3 linked regions of the Struthio camelus genome follow. The protein of the gene in region 3 interacts with the protein of the main gene of each other region in a pairwise test. Links are inferred from orthologs where the notes say so. Each region holds a gene or a part of one and is shown on either strand. Other genes may lie near its edges.

Evidence for each region.
Region 1: the proteins of GOLGA2 (region 3) and TRIM29 interact in binary tests that used the Homo sapiens proteins (3 or more experiments, as listed by UniProt). The two-hybrid records come from large-scale screens. The link is inferred for Struthio camelus from reciprocal best matches to the Homo sapiens genes GOLGA2 and TRIM29.
Region 2: the proteins of GOLGA2 (region 3) and CYB5R2 interact in binary tests that used the Homo sapiens proteins (3 or more experiments, as listed by UniProt). The two-hybrid records come from large-scale screens. The link is inferred for Struthio camelus from reciprocal best matches to the Homo sapiens genes GOLGA2 and CYB5R2.

The regions. Positions count from the first base shown.
Region 1 is NC_090963.1:3,724,177-3,731,741, forward strand, and holds the start of TRIM29 (tripartite motif-containing protein 29), read right to left. Parts: upstream 3,019-7,565; 5' UTR 2,814-3,018; coding exon 1,956-2,813; intron 1-1,955.
Region 2 is NC_090946.1:25,746,469-25,753,479, forward strand, and holds the start of CYB5R2 (NADH-cytochrome b5 reductase 2), read left to right. Parts: upstream 1-3,993; 5' UTR 3,994-4,021; coding exon 4,022-4,069; intron 4,070-4,216; exon of another isoform or gene 4,217-4,245; coding exon of another isoform or gene 4,246-4,287; coding exon 4,288-4,386; intron 4,387-4,579; exon of another isoform or gene 4,580-4,630; coding exon of another isoform or gene 4,631-4,645; intron 4,646-4,743; coding exon 4,744-4,887; intron 4,888-6,190; coding exon 6,191-6,263; intron 6,264-7,011. UniProt on the Homo sapiens protein: NADH-cytochrome b5 reductases are involved in desaturation and elongation of fatty acids, cholesterol biosynthesis, drug metabolism, and, in erythrocyte, methemoglobin reduction.
Region 3 is NC_090961.1:7,531,729-7,538,808, reverse strand, and holds the start of GOLGA2 (golgin subfamily A member 2), read left to right. Parts: upstream 1-4,050; 5' UTR 4,051-4,096; coding exon 4,097-4,144; intron 4,145-5,193; coding exon 5,194-5,316; intron 5,317-5,705; coding exon 5,706-5,786; intron 5,787-7,080. Other genes in the region: DNA repair protein SWI5 homolog, read right to left, coding at 84-148, 606-700, 1,635-1,756, 2,570-2,618, 2,736-3,025. UniProt on the Homo sapiens protein: Peripheral membrane component of the cis-Golgi stack that acts as a membrane skeleton that maintains the structure of the Golgi apparatus, and as a vesicle thether that facilitates vesicle fusion to the Golgi membrane.

The DNA.
Region 1 (7,565 bases), on a different chromosome or scaffold from region 3:
CACAGTTAGCAAGTGTGCAGGCAGTAAAACTACCCTGGAGCTGCTTGTGTGCCAAGCTAGGAAAATGGGGCAGGGATGGGGTTGACCTGATACGGGGTTTTTGCTTGTTCTTTCCACAAAGGCCAGTAGCAGCCGCACTCTGCCACTGCTCCAATTTGTGGTCATGTTCTAACTCATTTGATCTGCAAGGTTTGAAAGGAATAGGTGGTGCACACAAGGGACTGGGAAACGTTCATTCTTCTTTGTGGTTCTTGCTAAGGCTCCACCAATGGTGAATAAATCAGGGCTAGGAATAAACATTTGTGAGCAACAGCTATTCTGTTAATTGTTTTTGTCTGGGTGAATACTCACTCAAGTTACAGCATGATCAAAACTTGTCATCAGGAGAAGCTTGCACTTATATATGATTCATGCTGATAAAACCGTAAATCCTCTAGGCTTAGCAGCAGTAGAAAAAACACTTGACAATACAGGAACTAAAGCATGGAACTCATAAGAATGACACAAGTACTCGGAAAGAGAAAGCAAAGAATATCATTTGAATCTTAAAGGCTTCTGTGCCCAGTTATGCTTGCCTCTTTACAGGCAAGATGTTCTAGGTCCATCCAACCACAGGAAGAAGGCTCTGGCCAGCTTTGGTTCCTCAGGGAGCAACCGTTAACCTGTTCTTGACGGAATGGGATAAGAGGAACTGGACAACCCGACAGACACTAGACACAGCAGTTATGAAGGTTAGGCAGATGCTGTGAAGTTGTTCACAGCTGACATCAAAATGCAAGAACCAACGAGCATGAAGTAAACTGCAGACTTAGCAAGCCCTGCAGAAATTTCTTTAAGAGAGACTGGCTGAGACATGGAGCAACCTCCTATCTGTTTTCAATAAGGCTGCAAGGTGAGATTGACACCGCAAACAAAGACCAAAAATTGTGCAAAAGAAGACAGATAAACCACTAGATAAGAAGCTATTCCAACCTGCCTCCTCCAGCCTTATGAGTTAAACCTTTCTAGCACTGTTGAAAGAGTTAAATTCTTCTGAATTAAGGGTCATTGAAGAATTCCCAACGTCAGGTTCTTATATTCGCCTGTTCACTACACTATCAAAGCACTGACTTCGGGATTCTGACTGGGATTTTGCACTGGGTGCACTTCCAGTTTCTGCGGTGGACCTGCTATGTGACTAGAGTCAAATTGTTTTACTGCTTTTTTGTTGATCTCTTTAAAGCAAACAAAGGCGGAAGGCTTTTCCTTAGAGTGAGCACTGTTTCCCGTACCTGGCTCATCTTGTTAGATGTCCAGCTTCTGAATGTATTGTACTAACACTTCAAGAGGAATTATAATGTTTTGCATTTACACAGGTTTTTTTAATCTAAGCTTCAAAAGTCTCTTTCCACAGGTGCGACTCAATACTATTATCTCAATTTAAAAAAAGAAAAGAAAAAAAAGCACAAGCTCACTTCAAGTAGCTAAGATGTCAGTTTTGGAAAGTAACCACTGACTTGAGCAGCCGCTGATCTGACCGCCTACATTCTGGAGATCCTGAATGTGAGCAGCGCCCCACCTTTCTGCCTGTGGATGTCACTAATCAAACACTGTCCAAACTTGAGCCCATTTTTCTGAAAACTTGAGAATAGAGGGCTTTGATTCAGGTCCTGCTGAAAGTCAGTGTTGCAACCAGGGGTAGAAACCAGGTTCTCTGTCCTCCGATCTACAGTCTGCTGCACAACACCAGTGCTATGCTACTGTATCCCGGTATTAGAACAACAGTACAATTGCAGCAGAAGGCAAGCAGTATCAGTTCTCCACTAAACGCTTCCTATCCGCCACCCTTGCATCCCAGAATAACACTGCAGCAGTGCTTTTGGGAGAGACTGCAGACTGGGGAACAAAAGTCACTGTGTGATATTGAGGTTCCTTGGAAAGACTGACGGGAATGTGCAATATAAAAAGACCATTACCTCTTTTCCCGCTTTCTCAATCTCCACTGTCACTGTGCTGTGGTTCTTGTGCTCCTGGAACATGCAGAGGTAGCAGATGCACATCTGGTCTGTCTGACAGAACAGCTCCATGGTCTTTCCATGCACGGGGCATTTTCTTGCTTCAAAGTCCTTGATGGGGTCCAGGAGCTGGTGGTCCCGGAAAGCTGCTCCCTCCAGATGAGGTTTGAGGTGCAGCTCACAGAAGGAAGCCTGGCACACCAAGCAGGACTTCACGGCTTTTTGCTTGTTATCGATGCAGGAATCACACAAAACATCCTCCAGCTTCACCCTGGGCCGTGACCCAGCAGCTCTGTCAGGCTTGTTGAAGGTGGATCTTCTGAGGTCTCCTGTCTCTACCAGAGGGAGGGAAGTTTTCTTGAAGTCCCCAATCTGCCCACCAGTGAATAACGACTTCCTCCCCTCCCCGTCACTAGGCAGGAAGCTCTTTTTGGAATCCACGGAGAAGAGGGGTTTCCTGAGATCACCTTTATCGGTAAAGGAGAGGGGGGGTCTCCTCATGTCTCCTATCTGTCCACTGGCATATTGCGTCTTCTTTGAATCCCCCGAATCCATGCTGAAGTAGGTCGATCTCTTCTCATCAGATGACTCCACAAACTGGATGATGGGCCTCTTCCAGTCACTCCCGGAGAAGAGGGAGCTCTTGATTTGCCCCGTCTCCAGAGAAGCACTGCCAGTGCCCTTCATAGGTTCCTTCTCACCTCCACCCAGGTTCATGGTCTTCTTCACTTCTTCTTCTTTTTTGGGGGCGGATGGACTCTTCACATCCTCTGGCTTCCCAGTGGTACCATTTGTCCTTGCTGCAGTCCCCGTTTCCATTGTGTAAACCAGGCAAATTGGCTTCACTGCTCGGTCTTTTCTCTGATTTCTCGTCTCTCAAACCTCTACAAAGCGGGTATGTCTGACCGGTTGTTGTCTCAGCAAGGAACGAAGGTGGAACGCAGGAAAGTTTCTGCCCAAGTGACGCACCTTGAGCTCCTGCAAGGAGGAGGAGAATGCCTGAATTATGCTAGGTAGAGGCAGAGAGAAGAAACAGACTATACTAGGGATTAGAAGCTGCAGCTGTGCAGTTAATTATACAAGGCGGTCCACACCCAGGAACATTCTTGTCTAACCAGGTTTGGGAGGAAGGGCTGTTTATATCCTTAGAAATGTTTAAAAAAAAATCATTTTCATTTAAGATGTAGCAACCAGTTCTACCGCTTGTTTCAAAAATAATTTTGCTCATTGTTGCCAGGAGCTGAGGTTGCCTCCTTGCAGAGATGGGCAGGGTTGGAGAGACCATGAGATGCCGAAGATGGGTTTGTTAACTGGGTCATACACATGCGCAAAAGTAGTTATGGCTGTAATTAAAATGAACGGCTAGAATAAAAGCATTCTTAAACTGGGTTCCCTTGAGGGCTTACTCTGTTCAGTAGCACAGGGAGGGGAAAGGTATGGATAATACTGTGTTTAAAAGACCCTATTATTTTGATTTTGATGTTGGCTTTCTGCAAGATCCCTCAGTGGAACTAGAAATAGACTATCCATGCATCAGATCAACACGGTTGATCTGAAGCAAAAGTTGACTAGCATCTTCTTTTTCCCACCTGCCGCAGGTTCCCTGCTAACGTGACTAGCAGAGGTAACCCCCAATGCCTATTGCACTGCGTTCTTCCTGTGCAGTAAGGATTCGGGTGTGCCTTCTTCAGCTCTTTCCAGAAACGTCCATTGAACTGAGAAATCTGTTGTAATATACCTGGAAGATGAAATATTTTACAGCTAGATGGCCAAAATATTTCTTGCAAGAAGGAGGAACTGTAAAAGAGTTTTAAAAATAGGTCTTGCTCTCTGCACTAGTTGTATTCCTTGGAAATCTTCACCTTCTTGTCCAAAAAAAAAATACATTCAGCGTGAAATAAAACAACTTAGTTGGTTTTCCTTCTTTTCTTCCCTGCCTTTCCTTTAATCTCTCACCTCTATGACTGGCAAAGGGAGGGTACAGTGAAAGGCACATGCGGCAAAATTATTTCATGAAATGTTCCTTTCATTAAAAAAAGAAAATACACACCCCAAAATGGCTGTTTTTCAACTAACTGGAATCACAGAATGTTTCAGAACAAAAAGGTTCCCTATAAGCACTGCTGAATTCCAACAACTTCAGAAGAAAGAGGTTGAGCCTCCACTCATATCATATATCAATTAAACATAGATTATATACTGAAATTCAGTGCAATTGCTAACGATGCCAAAGATCTGTGCTTGATTTCTTCTTCTTAGAATGCAATGGTGTTACTGTTGGACAAAGATTTTTACACTGTAATGATTTCTCAAAAACACGCAACAGAGCTCCTATTGGAAGTGTCCTAAGCAATGGGGGAACAATCTGGGTCTGCGCTTTGCAGCTTTTGCTTAGGTGTGGAGGAAATAGAAGTGCAGCCCAAAACGGGAAAAGTATACATTTTGGATCTGATGTGAAAATGAGGTACCCATGAAGCGCCTGTCTTACAGATATGGTATGAAAGGATTTTGTCCATGCAAAATGAGAGAAAAGGAAATAGAGAAAATATCTGCCTTTAAAAGGAATCTGATTGGAATCCCTGGCCTATAGGTCAGCCCCTCTTACTGCCTGTGTGTAGATATGGCTCTCTGCATGTGAGAAATAATTCAGTATATAGTATTTTTTGGAAAAGTGGTGTTGGGAAATACCCCCTTTTGCAGTCATTTCTAATTGCCAGTTTTATGAATGTGGGACCGCAGTGGTCCCACACTGTGTTTCTTGACTCAGAAAGCATTCCTTGGCTGAGGAAAGGGCAATGCTATTTTTTTAAAAAAGAATCTCAGAAGAAAAATATTAGCGGATATATATATATATATATATATATGTATTTCGTTCTCCTGGTTTTCTGTGCTGAGCTGATCTTTCATAACATCAGCAGTCCTATAGATCTCCAGGTAATTAAAAATACTGGAGGGCGGAGGTGCCTGATCTCATGTGTACGGAAAAGACTCAGCAGAGCTTTTTCATGCTAGCGTTAATATTTAAGAAACAAAAATGTATGCATGAAGAAGTCTAATGTGGAAGAAGGAAGCTTTGATTTCTCTTGCTTTCCTGACAGGTTGCTAAGATTTTGGACTAGGTAAGGCAGTCAAAAGATTAAGGACTGAGTTCCTTCATCCTGGTTTTACTGACTCAAATTCAGAGTAGTTGAGTTTAATGCACTTCTCCCAGACAGACTCATGAGTAACTGAGCTCAGAATCCAGATTATTGCAGAATCTTCTGCCCATGCAAAGGTGCACACATGATTCTCATTACAAGACTGGGCACTCCAGTAAGTCAGGTTATGGCTGCGCTATGCCTGGCATACCCTGATGTCAGCCCCTGCTTCAGCTCCTCCGTTTGTTGCAATGCTGGTGAGGTGTTGCCATACCTGAGACGTAAGACAGTGTAATTCCTGTCATCTAATGCTGTTCAGATCAGATTTAGATAGACTGTTGTCAGCCCTCCTGATGGTCAGTGTTTTTCATAAAGCCTCAGGTCGAGGATTTGCTTTTGGGTAGCTTGGGTGGTATCTGTCCTTGCCGCTTAATTTGGAGGATCTTCAGCTCAGATTCGCTGTGTCAGACAGGAGGAGGGAGGCCGTGTGCAGGTATACAGACTAGTGGAGACGCTCTTGTTCATCCCTGCGCAAGGAAAGAAAACAGACCTATCTGACAGCCAGTAGCAACAGGGAAGTGCCACCTGGATTTCTCGAGGAGGACAGTGCCTGGAGTCTGTCTGCCGGTTTCCTGGGCTGAATTTCCCTTGAGTTTGCAGAAAGCAAGCAAGGATGTCACTTGTGTACATCAGGAACATCACCCGCTGCTGCCAGTCACTGCTGCGTAATACCACTTTCACTGGTCCCCTTTCAACCTCAGCTCGCTCTCGCAGGATCCCACACGCCTGGCGTGAAAGCCTCGGGTGCTTCCTGCTTGCAAGGAAACCGTGGCAGGCTCAGGTGTGACCAGTGAGCGCTAAGTACATCGCCACCGCTGCCCGGCAGCCTGGCAATGCAACTTGGCTCCATAGCCAAAGGCTGAGCGTGCTCTTTTGCCCATCACCTCTCTGCACCTCGTGAAAGCTCATAGATTTGTTTCATGCCAAAACGTTGCTTGCGGATGGGACCCACCTGCCACTTGTTATTTGCAGCCTCTCCTGGGAAATCAACTGTTCATACTGGTCTGAAACTTGAGATGCGTGCAGTCTTTAGTGGGGTTGTTCACAGCCACCACCAATGCTGGCGAATTCGGCTGGACAGCTTGCCCTGGAAGGCTCAGAAGGGCTCATGGGGTTGAAGGGTAGTTTGCTAGTTAGTTAAAGGGCGTTAGACAAGCTGTATCTCAGTCCCCAGACATATTTAGAAGACTTCCACTCACATACATGTTTAACTTCTAAATTGCCTGAAAGTGCAGCTTAGACTGGACTTCTTCTTAATGCAGGCTTTATCTTCCACTTACCGGAGGGTGACTCTTGATTTCTGTAGCATGAGTTCACACCTGTGTAAGCATCGCCTGTGGTTTTTGCACCAGCCATCCCTACGTTTTCTGCAGAGGACAGCCATCTCCTATCTAGTGCACTGCGTTGGGCTGATCACACAATATGCCCGTGTCTATACCTCTGACTCAGAGTATACACCCATGTTTGGCATTTACAGTGTCTTTCATCTGAAAAACTCAGAGCGTTTTTCAAAGGTTCACAAATTAAATTTGACAACACCTTTGCAAAATAAGTCTGGGTTGCTAACCTCATGTAGCAATTAGGGAAACTGAGGCACACATTGTGGCACTGGCAGAAATTTGTCAAGTAAAAGGAAACTTGCTTATAAAATTGCTCTCTGACTTTTTGCTGGCTCATTCTTTTCCTATTATTTTTCATGCATGTGACACCCTTAACTCCTTAATGCTTTTTGAACATCTGCTTTTATTTTGATTTTCAGCTTCATTTTTTTCACCATCAGTTCTGATTCACCCTTAAATTCAGGTAGTTTACTGCCTGTACAAAAGGGTTTCCAATGTGCAAGGCTGATACCTAAAAAAAAATTTCCCTAGGACTGAGAAAGTGGAAAAAATTGGGTTCATTTCAAACTAGATAGAACAGAAACAGTTAAGCCAACCCTGGGGCACTCCTTTAGACAGGTTTTGGAGCAGATTTTCAAACACCGATGACAGATTAAGTCATTGAGAGTCATTGAGAATAAGATCAACCAGCCCGTGATTCACTGACCCTGGTTCTCAGAGCAGCTCTGACAAAACTAGGAGCAGGGAACCTGCCTGCTAGTTGCCTGCCCTCTGCTTTACCCACTGATCGACGCTCCCTTTCACGTTCTGTATATTTTCTGTCCTTTGTATCTTATGCCTTTGTATAAAGTAAGTTTACAACTCAGAAAATGTTGTGGTGAAATATATGCAGGCTATTCCTGCTACAAGAAAGAGCACGGGAGATGAATCTATCAAGCGTGTAGACACCACTGAGCAATGCCCATGCATTATATAGTTCCCAGTGTAACAGCAGAGCAGGCAGAACGAGTTCAAGGCTTTGTGCTGCTTTCACA
Region 2 (7,011 bases), on a different chromosome or scaffold from region 3:
GACAAACTCAGATAAGTTCCAAAGACTAAGTGTAAGGCACAACTGTGTTAAACTACTAATAGGTTGTGTGTGTTCTTTCTTTGATGAGCTTCTTTAAAGAAGCCTTTGGAAAGGGATAGCGGGAAAATTACCTTTACAATTTTTCACTGTGGAAGTTGAATGCTGTCCAGCTGTAGTGGTAGTTGGTATTAGCAGATGCATCAGTTTAACTATGCTAAGAGCAGTTGTGTCTATTCACTTGGGCCTGCTTCTGTTTTGCCTAACAGGAACAAGATGACTTAAAGTATCTGTAAAATTTCTATCTGCATATTAATCTAAAACAAGGATATCACTAGGTGTGTTCAGATTTAAAAAAAAAAGGGGGAGGGAAGAGGTGGGGGATGACAAACTTACAGGTGTATCAGTTGTATTAGCCCTATTTAATGCAGTGCATATAGACTAATAAATCGATGTCACTTTAAAAAATCCTTAACAATATTAGCGGTACTATCCTAGGTTATTTATATGTGACTTGATTGCTAAGGTACATACTTTTTGCTTGAGTATATGGTGTAGACTTTTCATATTTCTCCTAGTATGGCTTTACAAGTAGGTTAGTTTTACTTTTATTTGTTGTATCTTTTCAGCCTTCTATAAGCTGCCAGGACCTTTTAATACAATAAGTGGTAATACAAATGTGAAATGTTCTGTGATGCAAATGAAATCTGATTGAAAAATAAAAAAGTACTTCCAAAGGAGTTCATGTAATGGAATTGTATTTTAGTTTTTACAAAATCAAATTTGACTTGATATTATATTTCAAGAACAACAGGAGATCTCTGCTGGAATATGAATGGGCTGGGAGACCTAGATATCTGTTTGCTACTGCCAGAGTTAAACTAGTCTCTATTGTTCAGGCTTGAAAGATTGGCAGATACATCTCTATGCTGCACAAACATGTAGGATGGCACAGGTCCTATTCCATATGCTTTTACAACCTATTGTTTTTGCACGTAATTTATAAGGCTTAGGAAAAACAGAAGGAAAGAATGTGGGAGTAAGAAGCTGACATTAATGAACTGCATTCACACAGCTAATCTATATTCATAACATGACGTTTTGCAAATATAATTATTTTTCAAATCCTTGCACATTTTGCACAAAGATGTAAGGCAGGTACTTGTACCTTACAATGTATTGCATTACTGTTGTTCACTGTGTAAGAAGGATATTTGGCACATGCCGCAATGGATTATGGATTTGATTTATTTGAGTGGATGCTTGGAAAGTGTTGCTAGAGTAACAGAATTTGTGTGAAAAAAGTACTCATGAAAACACTTTAAAAATATGTGTACATAACTAAAACTTCTTGGACATAATGACCATAACCTTGATTCCCATGTTCACAAAGTCCACACCACCCCACTTAAGTACTTGACAATTGCATGAGATGTTTCTTAACTTTGCAGTCAAAAGGAAGGGGCGGAACTCGTTTACAAAGCAAATCGGGTTCCCTGAGCGCTTAAAATCTGGATATAAATCTTTTTTTGGCATATAATGACAAAATATCATCTTTGTAGTATCGTATGAAGGCTCATTGCATTGTTCACTGGCGCTGCACTTGATGAAATATTTATAATAAAAGTTTATGTATCCAACAAAAAAAAAAAACTTGTTCTGATCTTTAGTTAACAAAAGTCTTCCTGTTTAGCTCTGAAATGGTTGTCCTTCTCTGTACATGTGCATGCTGAGAGTCCAAACACATTGCCAGTGATACACTTTCTAGATAGCATTTACAGGTTTAGTTATTAAAACAGTTTTGTAACTTTTGTTGGAAAGGGGAGATCTTCATCTCAGAAGTGGAGATTATATGTTCATTATTAAATCGGTCTGGGAATAATACAGAAAGGGAAGTAACTGTTGCCTGAAATTTGAATTCTGGCTATATAGCCTGACAAAAGATGTTTAAAAACGCTATTCATCTCGGACTTCATGGCATTATCTGTGTGAATTCACTTGTTTCATAATTCCTTACTTTTCATAATTCCTTACTTTCCTCCTTTTCTTCATAGGACAGCAAAGCTACTTACTCCATCATGCATCGTACTGCTCCTAGTTGCTTGTGCTCTTGTGACCTCTCCAGTGAAGCCAGAGGAGCAATAGCAGAGCAGTGTCGTATCTCTCCTTAGATGGACTCTGTCTGGAAGTATGTACGACAGGTATTTCGTGGCTCCCTCTCCTCCTAGAGTGGGCCTGCATGAAAGGATCTGACCAGCGTAGTATTTAGATGGTACTACAGATCTACATTCTCATGTGGTCTCCCCAATTTTCTTCTCTTTTCACCTCGCCTTTTTTCCCTCTGTATCTTGTGAGGACAAGTGGCACAAGGGCAATTATTTTTTCAGATTCAGGAGTCACTTTCCTGTCATGTATTGGATGCACAGCAAACCTTTTATTTCTTCAGTTAAAGTGAATGGACTTGGTTCTTTGCACATGTTCAACAGGCTGAATTTAGTAATAACACCAGAGGAACTGTGGATGTCATGTCTATGTAAAATAAGTTGCAAGAAAAATGAATTGGGTTTGGTATTTTGAAGAAAAAATGAGTTTTATATAGAACAACATCTTGCCTTTGACTCAAGAGAAAGGAAAATAATAAGCAAAAGTTGAAGACTAATACTGTCCAGAGAAACAGTATTAAGAATAGTTAAAATAGAAAATGAAAAATACCCCTAAATTGTTCCCAGGTTCTACAAGATCCTTTACTTGCCTTTTTCGTACTGAAGAACTGAGTTTTGTTCTTGAGAGAAGATTAATGCTTCTTATGAAAAGTGCCACTGTTAATTGGCCAGCTGCGCAATTATTTGTCATAAGTACCTGAACACCTGCTTTAAAATTAGTGTAAAGACAGTCTTTAAAATTACAAAAATGCTGTGGATTTCAGGATAAATTCCAAGAAATAAGAATGTTTCTTGTCTCTGTTGTTTTTGTTCTTACTTTCCTTAGATCTTTTGTCACATGGATGTATGGTAGTGTCACTGAGGAAAGTTGCTGCCAGCTGACCATTACCTTATTGTAAGAAAATATGAGGTCATAGCACCTCAGTGGGAGAACCTAGTACGTTTAATCATGGAAAATGGTTTGGCCAGGCCTGGAGTTCCTGGGCTCAGTTTTGATATTCTAAAGATAGTGGCTACCTGTGATGCTAAGTTAAGGAGTTAATTTACTTCAACAGAGATGTAACACCCTGCTTTGAGCCTCTCTGTTTTCAGCAGCCTGCCTAATAGAGGACTGAATTATATGTTGATATCGATTCTCTTGCTTTTGAAGTCAGGTGAGGAAAACCAGTGGTAACAAAGGAAGGATTAAAGAAGAACAGTGTTTGTAAATCTTCTGGCCTTCCATAATTAGTAATATAGGAAACTGAATGCATTTTTCTTTCAATTTTTTTAGAAGTCGCAATACAAGCATTCCAAAAATTAATACATCATATGTATTATTTTATTTCCTTCTTGTACCACTGTCTACAGCTTGGCACACTGTGAAGTTATTCCTGGCATTCCTTCCTCATCGGTTTTGATCATTTTGTGGGTTTTTTTTTCCTCCTTACAAAGATGTCTATCTGCTGTGGGCTGTTTTTATTTTAGATAAACTAATCTGAACCTAATGGAGCAGACTTGGACTTCAGAGACTTGTATTTTCTCTTAACTAACTTTTCTGTGTGTCACCAGTTCTGTGCTCCTGTTCTGCGCTCAGTAGATTGAATAATGATACTTGGTCTCATGTTTTTTAAGGGGGAAAGGTGAAGTCCACAGATACCAAATGTTATGTTAGTGCTGCTTGTCACTATGTAAAAATTTTTCCTAGTGGATGGAGAAGAAAATAGGGAATAATTTCTGTTTCCCCCCACCATGCAAACTGAAGCTGAGCTTTCTTGCCTCCTTTCCCTGGTTCCTTTCCCTGTTAATTGGCTGTTTGGCAGTATTTGGCAACATGGACTGTGGATTGCACTGCAACATGCAATCTGCAAAGAGTATAGCAAATGCAAAGCCAGGCAGGAGCGCTGTCTCTGCCCGGCTGCCCCACTATTGTAATGCAGTCTTTGGTTTTAATCTTGGTGCAGGCTTAATGGTCTTTCATTAGGATTTGCAGCATTGAGGGAGGATGTTTGTGCATGAAAACGAGTTTTATCTGACTGTACCTGTGGCATGAATGAAAGATACCATCTTTACTTGTGAACTTTGTATTGTTTGATTATCAGGTTGCATGCTCCTTTGCCTGAAGGACTTCAACTTTGTTCTTTTGCAGGACACTGGCAAACTGGCAGACTGTGGCAAACTGGGACTGGACCACATCTCCTGCATCACTTGTTTTCTGCTGCTGAACGTGAAGGCGATGGGAATTGAGGTGGGAGAGTGCAGAGGAGGACCGCAGCCATGAGTGTGCCTACACGGCAGAGCTGGATTTTGCGGCTTTTTCTGTCCCCGGTTGTGCGCCCAGTGGGGCCGGCTGCTCGCAGGGCTGAGCTGGGAAAGCGCAGGCGGGCGCGGCCAGCGCTGCCCCGCGCCCCGGCTCGTGCCGCCGGGCGGGGCGGGGCCGGGCGGGGCCGGGCGGGGGGGGTGCCCGGCCGGGGCCGCTGCCTGCTGCCGCCATGGAGGCGCTGGGGGTGAGCGCCCGGCGGGGCGGGGGGCGGCGGCGCGGCCCCCGCGCGGGTGAGCGGCGGGCTGCCCCCACTCGACTGCCGCGGCTGCTCTTCTTTTGAAGGTTGCCTCCGTGGCCATCGCCGTGGTCGTGATAGCTGCGTCCGCCTTGCTGCTCCTGGCCAGAGGGGCAGGGCGGGGGAGGAAGAGCCCCGTCACCTTGCAGGACCCGCACGCGAAGTACCCGCTGCCGCTGCTGGAGAAAGAGGTGCCCGAGCGCCCGGTGCTGCCCTGCGCAGCCCTGCCACGGGGCGATGGGGGCGTCGGCCCCGCGGCCAGCCGTCGCCCCGGTGGGGCGGCCGGGACGGGGCCGGGGGCGGTTGGTCGGACCGTGGGGCCGGGGACGGGGGAGGGGGGCGGTTGGTCGGACCGTTGGCCGAGGACGGGGGCGGTTGGTCGGACCGTTGGCTGGGGACGGGGGAGGGGGGCGGTTGGTCGGACCGTGGGGCGGGGGAGGGGGCGGTTGGTCGGACCGTTGGCTGGGGACGGGGCCGGGGGCGGTTGGTCGGACCGTGGGGCGGGGGAGGGGGCGGTTGGTCGGACCGTGGGGCCGGGGACGGGGGAGGGGGGCGGTTGGTCGGACCGTTGGGCGGGGGAGAGGGGCGGTTGGTCGGACCGTTGGCTGGGGACGGGGGAGGGGGGCGGTTGGTCGGACCGTTGGCCGAGGACGGGGGCGGTTGGTCGGACCGTTGGCTGGGGACGGGGGAGGGGGGCGGTTGGTCGGACCGTGGGGCCTGGGAGGGGGGCGGTTGGTCGGACCGGTGGCTGGGGACGGGGCCGGGGGCGGTTGGTCGGACCGTGGGGCCGGGGAGGGGGCGGTTGGTCGGACCGTGGGGCCGGGGAGGGGGGCGGTTGGTTGGACCGGTGGCTCGGGGACGAGGGGAGAGGGAAGGGCGGTTGGTCGGACCGTTGGCCCGAGGGGGCAGGCAGTTGGTCACAGGCTCTCCTAGGTTTGGGGGACAGAGAAACATGCCTTGCCCTCAAAGGGCAGCAGTGACTGCCCACAGCCAGGGTGAGGTGTTACTCCGGAGTAGAGCAGGGTTCCTGAAAGCATTTATGTTTCTGCTGTAGTTCTGTAGTTACCTCAGAAAAAGGGTGGATTGATTTTTCTGTGTGTTTAAATCGTAATTTGGAGCTGTGTTTCTGCCTTGGTTCCTGTCTGACGTGCTCGGTGGGAAATGACCCCAGCAGCCTGCGTTTCTGCATGTTGTATCTTGCCTTGGCTGCAAAACGTGAAATGTGCTTAATGGCCTCGGGTGATAGAGGATTTACATACTTTTCTTACCTAAAGATGCTATAGGGGTTGCAGAATCAGGAGAAAGTCGCTCCTTGTTAAAGTGAAAAGACTGGGGCTCTAAAACTTCTTATCTGCTTAACCTTTGTTTTCAAGGCCGTTTCTGCATCGTTCCCTCGCATACTAACACCGAACAGGCTCACCAAAGCATAACGTGTTGGTTTCGAGATTGATTTTGATGGTGACCTCGTTCTATGTCTCCTTGTTTTTTCATTAGGAAATTAGTCACGATACTAAGAAATTCCGGTTTGGGCTACCTTCATTGGATAATGTATTAGGATTGCCTGTAGGTAAATACTGAAACATGTCTCTACTTTTATTGGTGATTTTAGGATTTATTACCTCTTTTCGTAGCTCTAGGTCTTCTAATTTTCTTTCCAAAGAAGATGGGAATTTAGTGCTCAGCAAAGAAAGGAGTTAAAAACTTGTGTGTCAGCAAGACATGTTAGCTTTCCTTGTGGGGTCATGTTTCTTACCTTTTGTGTGCACTTTATTATTGTGCTAAGTAGTATAGTATAGTTTTAGAATGAGAATAGTGAAACTGAACTGGGACCTGAATTACCTATTAGATAGGTAATAGATTACCTACAGGATGGGATCTGTCTGGGTTTTTAATGCTTCTTATTTGCATTCTATTTTTTTGTATCTGGTGCCCTCAATTGGGTTTGTACTTTATCTACAGTAATTATAATAGCTAGCTAGCAGACGCTTACAGTAGTATAGCTGTAATACAAAGGAGACCTGAGGAGGTTGCCCAAAACGTACTCTTACGGATTGTCCTTGCTGCTCCCATGGTGCTGGCAGTGCTCAGAGTAGCTGGTTGGATGCTGGTCATGGATATATTATTGTCAGCTGTACTCGAGCTTTTAACTAATACAGTTGCACCCTTAGATGAGAAAGAGCAACTCTTCTGCCTTAGAAGCTTGTAAATAATGTATGCAGAGCAATGGGGAAAATATGATTACTCTACGTAAAAGATGCTGCAATGTTCAGAGCATTTTCTATGCATGCATTTACCTTTGTTTTATATAAATGGTT
Region 3 (7,080 bases):
CATTTTTAAATAGGTATGACACCAAAACCCAACGGCCCAGTAATAGGCATCTTTGCAGGACACTGTAGTCTTCAGGTTCAATACTAGTCGCTAAGCTCCAGATCATATTCAGGGTATAGCTGCTTTGTGGTAACCCCTCGAATAACAGCTAGAAAAGAAACACACACCATTACTTTCATTAAACGAACAGTAGGTTAGCCACAAGAGTTGCATTTTGCTTTCACTAACCCCCTAACTATCCTAGAACCTCCCATAGCTAAGAAAACAATCAAAAATTCTGTAGCTATGCCTCCTGCTTGCCCCATTTTTTTAAACGTGAAGAAATGGTAAAAGAAAGTAATAAGATTAATCAAATTTTGATAACCCGTAACACATAATAAAACACCTGCAAGTGTCAATTATTTCATATGCTGCTCAGGATATGTCCAGTTCCCAAAAGATTCCAAAGAAATAATGACAGAATCATTTGTGCTTGCACAAGTGATTTTAGTAAGAAGCCTAGAATTGCAGAATCTTTAAAATAAGCTACGCCTTCACAGCGTAGCAGCTTCTCTTTCTATCTAGATGAAAAAATTTACTAAGAAGCTGTTCATCTCCTTCCTTACCCAGCTTGCCTAACAGCATCTGTCCAGCATCTTTAATATCATTATACTCATGGAGCAGGGAGATGTGTTTCTCCAGTTCTTCCAGACTGTAGCCTCTGTAACAATAAATCCAGGAAGGTTAAAAAAAAAAAAAAAAAAAAAAAATCACGACACAGTGTGACAGCATGACTGCTGCTGCTACATAGTGAGCAAATTAAAGGTCTGTTTACCCTTGAGGCTTAAAAGAAACAGCAGCTTTTGGAATTGAATTCATTGTTCTATGATTTCCCAATCCATTTTAGGCACTATACACATTATTTTAGAAGATACCACTCACTACGTATAACCCACAGAGGTTCCCCCGCTTAAACAAACACACAACACAACCCCCCCCCCCCAAAAAAAAAAACCACACACAGCAATTTTTTCTCAAACCAGTCTGAAAAATCCCAAAATAGTTTGAGAAAACCCTGGTGATCCCAAAATGTGTCATAAGGAATCACACTAAAACAGCTGCACTATCCTGTATGCGGCACCCATTAAGCCAAAATGTTCTGCAGGGCATTTGCTTGTCAGGAAAACACCCCTGCTTCTTGAACACAAAGGTCAATACTTCCAACAGCTCACCTCAGACACAGAACAAGTGAGCACCACATCCACATGGAACAAGGGAAACAGTTTAATCTGAACAGGTCAAAAGTCATGATCTCCATTTTCAATTCCATATGAGCAAGCAATTTTGGTAACACATCCTGATGGTTCAAATTAGTCATTCCCAGTTTACAGTAACATCTGAGGTTAAGTCAAAAGTCTTCTCGTCTCAGCTGTAATATCGCTTTCTTTGCTTTACCAAATAAACAGGAAAGAATTCCCTGTTGTCTTTAACTGGTCCCATAATTCAAACAATATTGTAATGAGCATTACATAACAATATGATAAAACAACCAATGTAACAGGTCAGCTTTTAGTTCTAACTCCTGGGCCACGTTTAGTTTTAAAAGTAAAAATACTGAGGCCTCACACTGAACATTGAGCTTGCCAAGGACATACTCAGACAAAAATTGTGCAATTTCCTGGTCTAGAGCGAGGTCTTTCTGTTTCAGCTCTTCAATTTCATACTGCAGGGCTTCTTCACTGGCTCCATTAGGTTGGCAGGACCTTGGAGATGGGATCTGCAGAGCACAGAACACATTTAACATTCCACTCACTCAGCATGGGATAAGATACTATTGTGCCAGAAGGAACTGATCAGAAGATACATTAAGCATCACTGGGCAAACAAAAGGGAAAAAAAAGGGAGGGGGCTAGACTCAAGTAAAGTATTTCTCAATATATTTAATGTCAGCCGGCTCTATTTTATAATAAATCTTATTCTACAGCATTTTGTACTTTTACAGTGCTAAGGGAAAGATTACAATCTGGCTTTTCAAACAAGTTCCCAGGATGATGCAGTGTTGCATACTGACACAACTCCAGGCTGCCAGTTACTCAAGAGATGCCGTTGAGCAGTTTAGATGTCGTTTACCCTGATAAAGCACTAAGGCAACAGGCAATTTCACTCTCCAGGAAAAAGAGCCATTGCTACGCCAGTGTGAATCATCACAAACACTGGGACCAACTGCTGTTTCAGCTGAGACTTCAGTGACTACAACAGGCCACGGGAACTGAACTGTCACCGCAGAAGTCATCTCTCTGAGGCAGACATGAAGCCGTACGGACAGAACGGGCAGGAAGGTTGCTCTGCTGCCCCTGGAGCTGAGGGAGGGCACTGCACGCTGCCGAGTTTCTTCAGACGGGGAGAAGAGCCCGCGTAAGGAAAAGCAGCTCCCGGCAACCCGCGCCTTACCCCGCTCTCCGAGAGAGGAAAGGCGCCGGCAGGAGGCGGCAGGCCCCAGCGGGGACGTCACCGCCGAGGGGGGACCACCACCGCCGAGGGGGGGCCGCCGGGCGGCCGCGCCTCCCCCCGCAACAGCACGGGGACTCACCGGCGACTTGAAACCGGCTGTGCCGCTCCGCCGGGCGCCACCGGGGGTCCTGGGCAAAGCAGAGGGAGGCGCCGCGTCAGCGGCCGGGCAACCGGGCCGGGCCGGAGCCCCGGGGGAGAGGGAGAGGGGACCCGAGAGGCGGGCAGGGCCAGGAACCAGCTCCTACCTCTTCGGGACAGGCCGGAGCGGCGGGCAGCTCCCGCTGCGCCCCGAGCCCGGCGGGGACCCCCCCGGCGGCGGCGGCGGCTGCTCCGCCAGGGCCACCGCCTCACGCCAGCACCGCGCGGACCCCGCCGCCGCGGGGCGCGCCGGGAGCCGTAGTCGCGCCGCCGCGGGGCGCGCCGGGAGCTGTAGTCCCGCGGGGGTGGGACCCGGTCCCCGAGGCTGCGGACGGGCGCTGAGGAATGCATCTTCCCGTCTGAAACTACAGGTGAAATCGGCGGCGGGGCAGAACATAACCAGGCAAATAAGCCCAGCCGGGAGCTCTTCCGTTGGCACCGAGTGTTTCTGAAAACGCCTTCGAGCCTTCCAGGTGCCACAGCCTTGTTTCCGCGCCGCCAGCGGCAGGTTTCCCCGAGGCCGGGTGCCGGCGGTCCCTCGGGGACCTGCCTCCAGCCCCTACTTTCCTAGGCAGAAAGCCGCCGCCGCCGGTGCCACCAGCGGCAGCGCGCGTCGTGCCCGGCTGGGCCCCGCGAGGAGGGACGCGCTGGCTGGGAGGCCACCACCGCTCCAAGGTGCGCTTCGAGACCTCCCGCCTGCCAACCCGCCGCTGGATATTCCCCCCGCACCCCGAGCAGGCCGAGGTCAGGTAGGACGCCAACAGCAGCAGCGGGAAGCAGGATCAAACTCAGAAGAGTCAGATATAAACCGTCAGGCTTGGCAACCTGGGCCGCGTCCAGCCGCCCCACCTGCGCGTCCGTCCCTAGCCATCATCTGCTTCACCTCCTCCGAGAAGGCAGAGAAAATAAATCGCCTCCTCCGAGAAGCCGGGGAGAATGAGACAATTCCTGTCTTGCTCCTTGGTTGGGTGCAGAGTTTCCTTCCCTGCTGGCCAAAGGCAGACGTCCCTGTGCAGCGCCAAGCGCTGGCAACGGGCCTTTTACGTTCCCTGGCCGAGCGCGCAGGCCAAATCCCGCTGTTGCCGACTCGGAAGGTCAAAGGATGCGGGAACGGGACTACAAACCAGCAAAACACAACCCCCTTTACTGGCCAAACACAACCCCCTTTACTGGCCGTAACTGCGGTGGGGGGGGGGGGGGATCAGGCACCGAAGCGATGCAGGCAGGGCAGCCGGCTCTGTAGGACAGGGCCTAGAGAGGGGGAGGGACGCTTGCCCCGCTGAGACCGGCCCTTCTCCGGCGGCCCGACTGCCGCAGGCGGCCCGTTGGGCGGCTCGGGGCCGGGGCCGCCCTGCGGCGGGGGCCGGGCCGGGCGCGATGGCGGCGGCGGCGGGGCCGGGGCGGAGCCTGGCGGCCGCCTGCGCCGCTCGCCCTGCGCCGGCTGACGTGGCCCGGGCCCGGCTCGGACATGGCGGACGGCAGCAGGCAGAGCAAGCTGGCCGCGGCCAAGAAGAAGGTGCGGGGCCGGCGTGGAGGGAGGGAGGCGGCGCGGGGAGCGGAGCGGGGCGGCGGGGCGCCGGCCGGGCTCGTCTGCGCGCTGCCCCGCGCTGCCCGTTCGCGGCGGCCGCGGAGGGGGCTGAGGCCCGGCCCGGCCCGGCCCGGCTCGGCTCGGCCCCCGGGTGCGGCGGGGCCGGCGGCAGCGGGGCGCGCTGCCATTTTGAGCCCCGCGGCGCGGCGGGTCTGGCCTGGCCTGGCCCGGCCCCGGGCCTCGGGCCCCGCGGCCGCTGCCTGCCGCCCTGGGGAGAAGCGGGTGGTTTGCGTGAGTGCTGGGGGCTCGCTCCCGCCGGGGGTTTCGCTGTCTGAAAGACACCGGCACTGAAAGACTGAGGGAAAGGCTTAGAAAGGTGCAGTTTAGGGCTCACCTGTCTAGCTTTTCCTAGGGAAAATGGAAACTGTTTTAAATCCGGCCGCGGAGAGCACAGTCAAGCCCGTTTTTATAAACGGAGCCGTTGGTTTGCTCCATGATGTCGTTTGTCCCCCCAGTTCGGAGCTGCAGCGTCTGTGTCGGCGTGTTGTCTGTCGGGGAGGCCTGTCCTTTTCCTTCTCAAACTCTTTGGCAGAAGGGCAGAGCTTGCTCTCAGGCGCTGCTTTTTCACTTACTATTCAGGATTAATTGCCTTTTATTAATTTCACCTTATTGCTCTTGGTTATAACCCTAAAAGTCATCAAAGTTATTTATTTCCTTTCAGTTGCAGTAAAGGATGGCACGTTCTTTCCTTCCCATAGCCAAATTTCATTGGTTGCATAGCAAAGCTGCGCGTTTGCAACCCTGAGTCTCTGGCCCCAAACCCATCGCACCAGCTCTCAATTTAGCCTTCTCGACTTGTTCTAACTTTTTTCAGAGAAACTCTTCAAAGACAGTTGCTCATGTCTCTATGCCTGATCTCCCTTTTTACCCCGTGATCTTTTTATTCTTTTCATTATTTGTTGACCTTGTAGCTGTAGAAGGCACGTTCCATTTGTGGACTTCAGATTCTTCTTTTTTTCCCCCCTCCCCCCCCCCAGCTGAAGGAATATCAGCAGAAGAATAGCCCTGGAGCAACTGCGGGAGCCAAGAAAAAAAGAAAAACTAAAGAAGGAAGTAGACCTGAGACTCCCACAAATGATGACCAACAGTCTCCAGAGAACGTAAGTATTCCATTCTTTCTCCCAAATCATTAGCCACCTTGTTGTTCTTTGGTTTCCCATACGACCTGACTACAGGAGGAGGAGGAGGGTTTTGCCGGTGTAACATATGAATGGCTGAGATGCTGGTATTACCAGTTTATGAAGTGAGCTACAATGGTTAGCGACTAAAATCCCTTGAAGGCGCACGCTAGCGTCAGGGTTTATGGCGAAGCAGTGTTTGATCGTACAGGGGTACAGTGCAACCCTGGGTATGTCCAGAGCTGTTGTTTTGAGGCGTATCCTCCTAACGAGCTGGAGGGTGCCAGCTTCTGTGGCTACCTTTGATTGGTATTTTCTCTCTGTCCTTTTCTGAGCCATTTCTCTTTCCACTTTTCTTTCGCCTCCTTTAGATTCAGAACATTCTGAAGGTGCTGGTGTCAGACCTTAACCGCTCCAATGGGGTAGCCATACCCTCATTGGACAAGAGGAAGGTGAGGCAGTGCTCCGCGTCCCTCTCGGTGACTTGCTGTCCCTACTGCATGCTTCCAGTTCTGTTCAAACCGACTCTGATTTTCGGGTGGAGTCTCGTTCTGACGCATCTGCTGTCAGTTGCTTGAGTTTTGTTGCTGTTTTCATTAACATGGAGCTATTTCTTAACATGCCTTTCCGTTGTTTGTGAGAGTGTGTTTCCTTCTGGTTTGTGTCAAACTTAACAAGTGAAGAAGTGAACCTTGTCAAGAACTTTTTCTTGGGACAGTCAAGCTTTGGGGAATATCAGGAATTTGGTGTGAGGCAATGAACAATGATGAGTGACTGCCTTTACTATATGATGAGTTTCCAAGAAGTTGTAGCAAAGGGGCGTAAAAACCTGTCTGGCACTAGGAAAAGGTAGTGTTCTCTCAGTCTCTATTTCTGCTGTTTTGGGTATCACTGCTTTCTTTCCCAGTGCCTTGTTTCTGAGGGGCATGTTTCTGCTCATCTCTAGTCAAGGAGCTGCCATGAGTAAGCTATGTAGTTATTCCAGCCAAGCCATTTTATGACGGGTGATGAAACTTGCACAGGTGATGCACACTCTGGCAAGTACTATGATTTTAAATATGTTTAGGCAGGAGGTCAGATATTTCAAGTCAAGCATTTATGGCCTTCAGGGTCTTCTTGTTCCCTGGCTCCTGGAGATGAAAGGGAAGGAAATACTTCAGTGAGCAATAAAAATGTGTTCAGGAGCGAACTTACATCAGCCTTTTATTTGTAGGTAATCAGTTTACTGGAAGCTAGAATTGTGATAGGAAAGTCAAAGTTTGTAGCCCAGAATTTTCTTCCAATTTTGTTACACTAAAGCTCTGCTTCCCAGTGTCACTTGGTTGCACCATCATTTTGACTGCATACCTTTCCACCCTCATTTTCAAGTCTAGTTGTCACAAAATAAACCATTTATTATATTTACTGCTTATCCACTTCTCTCCAGCAATAAATTGAGCTATCGTAATCACCAGGAGCGTTAGGTGGATGCAGGTGAGGATGGCTGTTCTGGGGCTGCTGCTGAGATGGCACTTGGTCTTGAAATGAAGGCCTGACTGTGTCTACGGTTTGTTCTGTTCGGAAAATGGAGAACTTACTACTTCTGTTCATCCTTGTTTTCCAAATTTTTTTTTTCCCTCAGCTTTCTCAGCTTGGAGAAATATGTGAAATATGTTTTGATCTGATTGGCTATTACAAACGTTCTTTTATCTTGGAATTTGTGGATTATTGTGTATGTAGTGTTAAGAGTAACTTGAAAACTAATCT